2 linked regions of the Callithrix jacchus genome follow. The protein of the gene in region 1 interacts with the protein of each later gene in a biochemical or structural test. Links are inferred from orthologs where the notes say so. Each region holds a gene or a part of one and is shown on either strand. Other genes may lie near its edges.

What was found.
Region 2: the proteins of GABARAP (region 1) and kelch repeat and BTB domain-containing protein 7 form a complex in vitro, tested with the Homo sapiens proteins (2 studies listed by BioGRID and IntAct, with this or other methods). The link is inferred for Callithrix jacchus from reciprocal best matches to the Homo sapiens genes GABARAP and KBTBD7.

The regions. Positions count from the first base shown.
Region 1 is NC_133506.1:73,732,798-73,736,516, reverse strand, and holds GABARAP (gamma-aminobutyric acid receptor-associated protein), read left to right. Parts: upstream 1-1,176; 5' UTR 1,177-1,299; coding exon 1,300-1,389; intron 1,390-1,958; coding exon 1,959-2,037; intron 2,038-2,177; coding exon 2,178-2,296; intron 2,297-2,723; coding exon 2,724-2,789; 3' UTR 2,790-3,217; downstream 3,218-3,719. UniProt on the Homo sapiens protein: Ubiquitin-like modifier that plays a role in intracellular transport of GABA(A) receptors and its interaction with the cytoskeleton.
Region 2 is NC_133506.1:160,346,429-160,350,605, reverse strand, and holds the start of kelch repeat and BTB domain-containing protein 7, read left to right. Parts: upstream 1-1,375; 5' UTR 1,376-1,674; coding exon 1,675-3,780; 3' UTR 3,781-4,177. UniProt on the Homo sapiens protein: As part of the CUL3(KBTBD6/7) E3 ubiquitin ligase complex functions as a substrate adapter for the RAC1 guanine exchange factor (GEF) TIAM1, mediating its 'Lys-48' ubiquitination and proteasomal degradation.

The DNA.
Region 1 (3,719 bases):
TCTCCTTAGACTCCCTCAGACCTGTAACCAGCTTTGTCTTTTTTCCTTTCCTCTCTTTTAAACCATGCATTATAACTTTGAAACCAAAGCGGCCCTTAGGTCCTTCTCTGGGGTTTTGGGAAGTGAGGGGAGGGCACTTTATTCACATGCACCCTGTCTCCAGAGCAGTGGGCGAAGAGCCTACTGCTGGACTCGAGGGCACGGGGAAAGGTGCTGTTGAGCATGAGGATACAATAGTGAATGTGGACACCAGATGCTTTGGCGGGAAGGGCCGAGTGACAGGATGGGCGCACTGGTGTGGAGTGGAAGGATACCTTTGGAGCAGTAGGCTATTGAAGGCCGAAAGGAGAAACCTGGGCGGCCAAAGGGCGTAGAGCTAGAGAAACGTCGGGCTTCGATGGGAGCACTGATATGGACAGACTACGCGGGCGCTGCCCCCTAGGGCCGCCTCGACCTCCGCTCTCGGAAGAGGGGCCCCTCCCCGACGTTGCTCAGCTGGCCCCGCCCCCCCAGCCGGCCCTACTTTCCGCCCCCCCAGCCGGCCCTACTTTCCGCACCCGCCACGTGACGCTCCGCCCTCTCTGAGATCACATGATTTCACTCAAACTGCGATGTTCCTCCGCGCTGGCGTAGTCCTTACCTCTTGGACCTCCTCTCCAGTCCCTATTGGTCTACTCATTCCTGGTACTTAAGCGTTCTGTACATCTCTCCAAACATCCGTTTTCTTTTTGAACTCTTATTTGTGGAGATCATCTCTGTCCCTTGGGTACTACTTTGTTTTGGTGTCAACGGCCGCCTTCAGCGTAGCAACGCGTTTTGTGAATAGCCGACCTTGTAATTGTCTCTGCTGTTCCTCTACGTTATTTCCGAAAGGAACTTGGGAAACCAAGTCTCATGGTTATTACCATCTCATACTCCTCTTGAGCCCCAGCTTCCTTGAGGGGGAGGTTGGGGAATAGGTTTAGAGGTATTTTCAATGAGTGAAAACCAACCGTCTTTGCTACGTCTTCTGCGTATCCCACACATTAATTCCAAAGCGATTACGCTAATGGCGTGAGGGGGAGGGTCAGTGGGTGTTGCTACGCTAGCAGCGTTAGTGCCGATGAGGTAGTGGCGTATCTTAACGGGGGGGCCGTCCTGTTAGTCGGGGGCGGGGTTGGTGAATAGGGAAGTGGCGCAAATTCGTGGATCGCTCCGCTGATTCCGCCCGCCCGTCGCCACTGTTGCCGCCGTCCCCCGTCCGGCCCCCCCCTCCCGGGTTCCCTCAGCCCAGCCCGGTCCAGCCCGGTTCTCGGGAGGATGAAGTTCGTGTACAAAGAAGAGCATCCATTCGAGAAGCGCCGCTCTGAGGGCGAGAAGATCCGAAAGAAATACCCGGACCGGGTGCCGGTGAGGACAGTAGCCTGGGCGGAGGGCGCGGGACGCTTACGCTGACGCCACAGCCTGGCCTTGGATTTGGGACGGGCAGCGGGAGGATCAGGCTGCTGGCTATGGCGGGATTGGAAGCGACCCTGAAACTGCTGTCCCTGGGACCGAGGATGAAAGGGGTGGGGTAGTGGTGGACCTGGAGTAGAGAGGGATGTAGACAGGAGAGAGAAACCTTGGCATTTGTGAGTGGAGGCCTTAAGAGAGTTTGACAGCCTGAGCTTCAAGTGGTCATCCCCCCAGCTAGTTGAGGTTGTGAGATTGAAGCACTAGTCGGCCCAGACAAGTCATCTCCATCTGATTAAGATAGTTGTTTATGGTGACGCCCTATTCGGGGGATGGATCCTGGCTATTTAAATGAACTCCAGTCAGTAAGGTCAGGATCTCTGGGACTCAGGGCTGCACCGCGTGTGCAAAGACAGATGAGTCTGGGGTAGATTTAGGTGCAAGGGTTATTGTTACTTGAGTTCTTGACAGGTGCAGCTGCGGGGCTGCATTCCTCTGCCTCCTCATTTTCATCCTCTCTTTATCAGGTGATAGTAGAAAAGGCTCCCAAAGCTCGGATAGGAGACCTGGACAAAAAGAAATACCTGGTGCCTTCTGATCTCACAGGTGGGAACCTGACCCAAGACCCAGGCTTGCTTCCTGTGGGTGGGAGTGCAGTCTCTGCAGGAGGAGGCTCCACCTAGCAGCTGTTCTTTTGAGGGCATTTTTGACCTCTCTGACTTTCTCACACCTTGTATCTTTTGCAGTTGGTCAGTTCTACTTCTTGATCCGGAAGCGAATTCATCTCCGAGCTGAGGATGCCTTGTTTTTCTTTGTCAACAATGTCATTCCACCCACCAGTGCCACAATGGGTCAACTTTACCAGGTACGGTGACTTGGAAGTGGTGGAGGCTTTGGAGAAGCCTCTGGAAGAGCGTGAGCGGAAGAAAGTGTTGTTACATCAGTAGTTTTGCACTAGCTTCCTGACTTGCCTTAAAATTTCATGATAGCAGTGGGTTGGGGGTTTGAACAGAACAGTAGGAGTAGAGAGACGCAAAGAGAACAGTGAGCTAGAGGAACTTTCTGATCAGGACTCTTCCCAGTCCTCCTCCCCTTTCCAGAGCAGCAGACAACCGTTTAAGGTCTTTTTGCCCAGGACTGCAGAGATTATACTGCTTATGCTAGTCCTTGGAGTCAGTGAAGGAGTCGGGCACTGGTTTGTGGTTCTAGAAGACCATAAACTGGTTTGGGTGGTGGTTGGTTGAAGTAAGTTAGGAGCCCAGTTGCTGAACAGTTTTCTGCTTTCATCTCAGGAACACCATGAAGAAGACTTCTTTCTGTACATTGCCTATAGTGACGAAAGTGTCTACGGTCTGTGAAGCTGCTGCCCTTGAGCTGGAGGGGGCTCTCATTCTACAAAGAGAGAGGTGGCCCCCCTTTCTTGACTTCTTCCTCCTTCAAGCTCAAATACCACCTCCCTTATTCAGGACCGGCACTTCTTAATGTTTGAGGCTCTCTCTCCAGCCTCTCTTAGGAGGGGTAATGGTGGAGTTGGCATCTTGTACCTCTCCCTTCTCCTTTTTTCCCCTTTCTCTGCCGGCCTTTCCCATTCTGCTTTAGACTCTTGATTGTCAGTCTCTGTCACATCTAGTGATTGTTTTGGTTTCTGTTCCCTTTCTGACTGCCCAAGGGGCTCAAAACCCCAGCAATCCCTTCCTTTCACTACCTTCTTTTTTGGGGGTAGTTGGAAGGGACTGAAATTGTCGGGGGAAGGTAAGAGGCACATCAATAAAGAAGAAACCACCAAGCTGAGCTGAATTTTGCCTTGTGTTGCTCCCCTCCTCCCGCTGTTTTTTAGTCTTTCCAAGGCGTCAGTGGGTTTCAGTGGTGGGGAAAGAAGAGTAATGGGTACAAGCTGGAGGGATAGAAGTATATTTTGATTTATTCTGTTCATGTTGAGCTTTTCCCGGTCTGCAAAGAGAGGGTGATTTTGTTGTAATGGAATGGAATACTGAGTATCATTTCATAAAACTTTAGTTTTATGACACATATGTGAAACTAAATGTTAAATATGCTTATGTAAAAAATACTGTTCGAAAGTACCTGCTTTAGGTGGACATTTATTAGAACATTTTAATTAAGATATTTTCATGTGTAGGAGCTGGTAAAACGGCTGTTCTCAGTTGTATGTCACTTGGCTAGAGTTTTGCCGGCGAGTGGGATCCGGAGGAGTGGAATCAGGGAGGGAGAAGACTGGGAGGAGGGAGCCATTATCGCCAGGAGTACTTCATCTCCCAGTGATCATTTCT
Region 2 (4,177 bases), about 87 Mb from region 1:
CAGGCCCTATTTTCCTGCCTCAAATCTCTAATACTTGGTTTTGATGATTTAGCTGTTGATCAACGCATATATTAAATAGTTTTGTAAAGCATAGACTATACTGTGTATTAATTCAAGGAACGTCAGGGCATGTATGAATGCTGAAGTCTGAGAATCATGTGCTTTTGTACAGAACAAAGTCTGTTGAAATGTTTTGAGTTAAAATTCTCCCTAAAACTTCTCTACGAAAGCAATTGCAGAGTCTGTTAACTGATTTGTAGAATGGCAGTGAAAGAGGCTGTATTTGGCCGGGCGCGGTGGCTCACGCCTGTAATCCCAGCACTTTGGGAGGCCGAGGTGGGTGGATCACGAGGTCAAGATATTGAGACCATCCTGGTCAACATGGTGAAACCCCGTCTCTACTAAAGATACAAAAACTTAGGCCGGCATGGTGGTGCATGCCTGTAATCCCAGCTACTCAGGAGGCTGAGGCAGGAGAATTGCCTGAACCCAGGAGGCGGAGGTTGCGGTGAGCCGAGATCGTGCCATTGCACTCCAGCCTGGGTAACAAGAGCTAAACTCCATCTCAAAAAAAAAAAGAAAGAGGCTGTATTATTCAATTTGAACACACTTACATTTGCAGCTTAATGAAAATACTCTTGCTCTGCAGAGATGAAATGTTAGTGAGAGCAGCAAATCATCTATTTGTATATGCTCAATTTGCATATTTGAGGCCATCTATTAATACTGCTCTTTAGGACCTCAACCTAACCATCTAAGACATTCTTGTTAAATGAGACCAATATACATCATTTAATATTGAAAATATTAATACTCTTCAGAACCTCTCAAAAAATAAAAATTAAAAATTGGAAGCTTTGTAACGTTTTGCAGTTTTAAAAAAAATACTTGGTTTCAAATTAGCGGGTGCCTCATTTATCATAAATTATAAAAGAGAATCTAACAATTATTGATTACATTCTAGGCACGGGGTAGTGATTTATTAATTATTCTTCTAATAAAAAAATACACATATTTAAGCATCCTATGTAACATATCATTCAACCCCACAAAACCCTGTAAAATATTGGCAGGGCGCAGTGGCTCACGCCTGTAATCCCAGCACTTTGAGAGGCCGAAGGAGGAGGATCATTTGAGCCCCCAGTAGTTCGAGACCAGCCTGGCAACAATAGTGAGACCTCGTTCTTCACCATCAAATCCCGGAGTATTAATTTCTACTTCTGTTAGAGCAGGCAACGAAAGGAAAGCTCGCGATATTTCACAAACTACTACTCCCAACATGCAAAGCGGTTTCCTTCCTCGGTCTTGGCCCGGCTGTCCGAGAGCCCCAGCAGGCCTCGGGGCGCGAAAGGCAACCCGGGAACCGTAGTTCTCCAGGGCGCCTAGCGGGATCGCCAGCGCGGCAGTGGGGCTTCCGCGGCTCCCAGCCAGCGGGTCCTGTGAACGCGAGCAGAGGCGGAGAAAGGGCGCGGAAGTGAGAGAGGGTGAGTCAGCCACTGTCTACGCGATAAAGGGAGGCCTCACCGCGGGGTAGGCAGAATTCAGGAGTCAGGTCCGTGCCGCAGTCTGTTCCAGGAAGCGGCTTGTGTTAGCGTCAGCGAGGGAAGGGTGAGGAGGAGCCAGAGCCGGGTCCTGCAGCCGTTCTCGCCTTCAGCGCCCGTCGCCATCTCCATCATGCAGTCCCGGGAGGACGCCCCGCGCTCTCGCCGCCTCGCCAGTCCCCGCGGTGGGAGGCGGCCCAAGAGGATTTCCAAGCCCTCGGTTTCGGCCTTTTTCACGGGCCCAGAGGAATTAAAGGACACGGCCCATTCTGCAGCCCTCCTGGCCCAGCTCAAGTCCTTCTACGACGCGCGGCTGCTGTGCGATGTGACCATCGAGGTGGTAACGCCCGGCAGCGGGCCCGGCACGGGTCGCCTCTTTTCCTGCAACCGCAACGTGCTGGCAGCTGCGTGTCCCTACTTCAAGAGCATGTTCACAGGTGGCATGTACGAGAGCCAGCAGGCCAGCGTGACCATGCACGACGTGGACGCCGAGTCCTTCGAGGTGCTGGTGGACTATTGCTACACGGGTCGTGTGTCGCTCAGTGAGGCCAACGTGCAGCGCCTGTACGCGGCCTCGGACATGCTGCAGCTGGAGTACGTGCGGGAAGCCTGTGCCTCCTTCTTAGCCCGACGCCTGGACCTGACCAACTGCACCGCCATCCTCAAGTTTGCAGACGCCTTTGACCATCACAAGCTGAGGTCTCAGGCCCAGTCCTATATAGCTCACAACTTCAAGCAGCTCAGCCGAATGGGTTCGATTCGGGAGGAGACTCTAGCAGATCTGACCCTGGCCCAGCTGCTGGCTGTTCTGCGCCTGGATAGTCTGGACGTGGAGAGTGAGCGGACAGTGTGCCACGTAGCAGTGCAGTGGCTGGAGGCTGCTCCTAAAGAGCGGGGTCCCAGTGCTGCAGAAGTCTTCAAGTGCGTGCGCTGGACGCACTTCACTGAGGAAGATCAGGACTACTTAGAAGGGCTGCTGAGCAAGTCCTTAGTGAGGAAGTACTGCCTGGGCGTTGTTGAAGGGGCCCTGCAGATGCGCTATGGCGACCTGCTGTACAAGTCTCTGGTGCCAGTGCCAAACAGCAGCAGCAGCAGCGGCAGCAGCGGCAGCAGCAGCAGCAGCAGTGGCAGCAGCAGCAGCAACAGCAGCAACAACAACTCTGTTGTACCTGCAGCAGAAAATCCACCTCAGAGGCTGGGTATGTGTGCCAAGGAGATGGTGATCTTCTTTGGACACCCCAGAGATCCGTTTCTCTGCTATGACCCTTACTCGGGGGACATTTACACAATGCCGTCACCTTTAACCAGCTTTGCTCACACTAAGACTATCACCTCCTCAGCTGTCTGTGTCTCCCCAGATCATGACATCTACCTAGCTGCCCAGCCCAGGAAAGACCTCTGGGTGTATAAACCAGCTCAGAATAGTTGGCAGCAACTTGCAGATCGCTTGCTGTGTCGCGAGGGCATGGATGTGGCATACCTCAATGGCTACATCTACATTTTGGGGGGACGAGACCCTATTACTGGAGTTAAATTGAAGGAAGTGGAATGCTACAGTGTTCAGAGAAACCAGTGGGCATTGGTGGCTCCTGTCCCTCATTCCTTCTATTCTTTTGAACTCATAGTGGTTCAGAACTATCTTTATGCTGTCAACAGTAAGCGCATGCTCTGCTATGATCCTAGCCACAATATGTGGCTAAACTGTGCTTCTCTTAAACGCAGTGACTTTCAGGAAGCGTGTGTCTTCAATGATGAAATCTATTGTATCTGTGACATCCCAGTCATGAAGGTCTACAACCCAGCTAGGGGAGAATGGAGGCGGATTAGTAATATTCCTTTGGATTCAGAAACTCACAACTACCAGATTGTCAATCATGAGCAAAAGTTGCTGCTCATCACTTCTACAACCCCACAATGGAAAAAGAACCGAGTGACAGTGTATGAGTATGATACTAGGGAAGATCAGTGGATTAATATAGGTACCATGTTAGGCCTTTTGCAGTTTGACTCTGGCTTTATTTGCCTTTGTGCTCGAGTTTATCCTTCCTGCCTCGAACCTGGTCAGAGTTTCATTACTGAGGAAGATGATGCACGGAGTGAGTCTAGTACTGAATGGGACTTAGATGGATTCAGTGAACTGGACTCTGAGTCAGGAAGTTCAAGTTCTTTTTCAGATGATGAAGTCTGGGTGCAGGTAGCACCTCAGCGAAATGCACAGGATCAGCAGGGCTCTTTGTAAATAGTATTTTGAGACACTAAGATGTTTCTACTGCTATGGAATGTATGTTAAAAAGATATCCTCTCTTTTTCTTGGGAAAAAAAGGTTGATTACGACCACAGATTTGGTTTAGAAAGGGTAACATTTTGAAATACTACAGGGTTTAAACAGTCCCTGAAACCAACCCGTTTAATAATTTACTGTGCTGAAAGTCCAAAATTAAAATATGCAAACAAGAACTATATAATTGGTTGGGATGCTTGGTAGGCTTTTTCCTGGTTCAGGTATTCATCCCACAGTGGACTGTTTTGATTAGTGGGCTTATTTTTTTTTTAATTCAGTCTTCTGTTAATTTTTAAGTTTTCTTTAGTGCCACAAAGAATTTATCTTTTAAATCTGTATAATAGAAAACTGGACT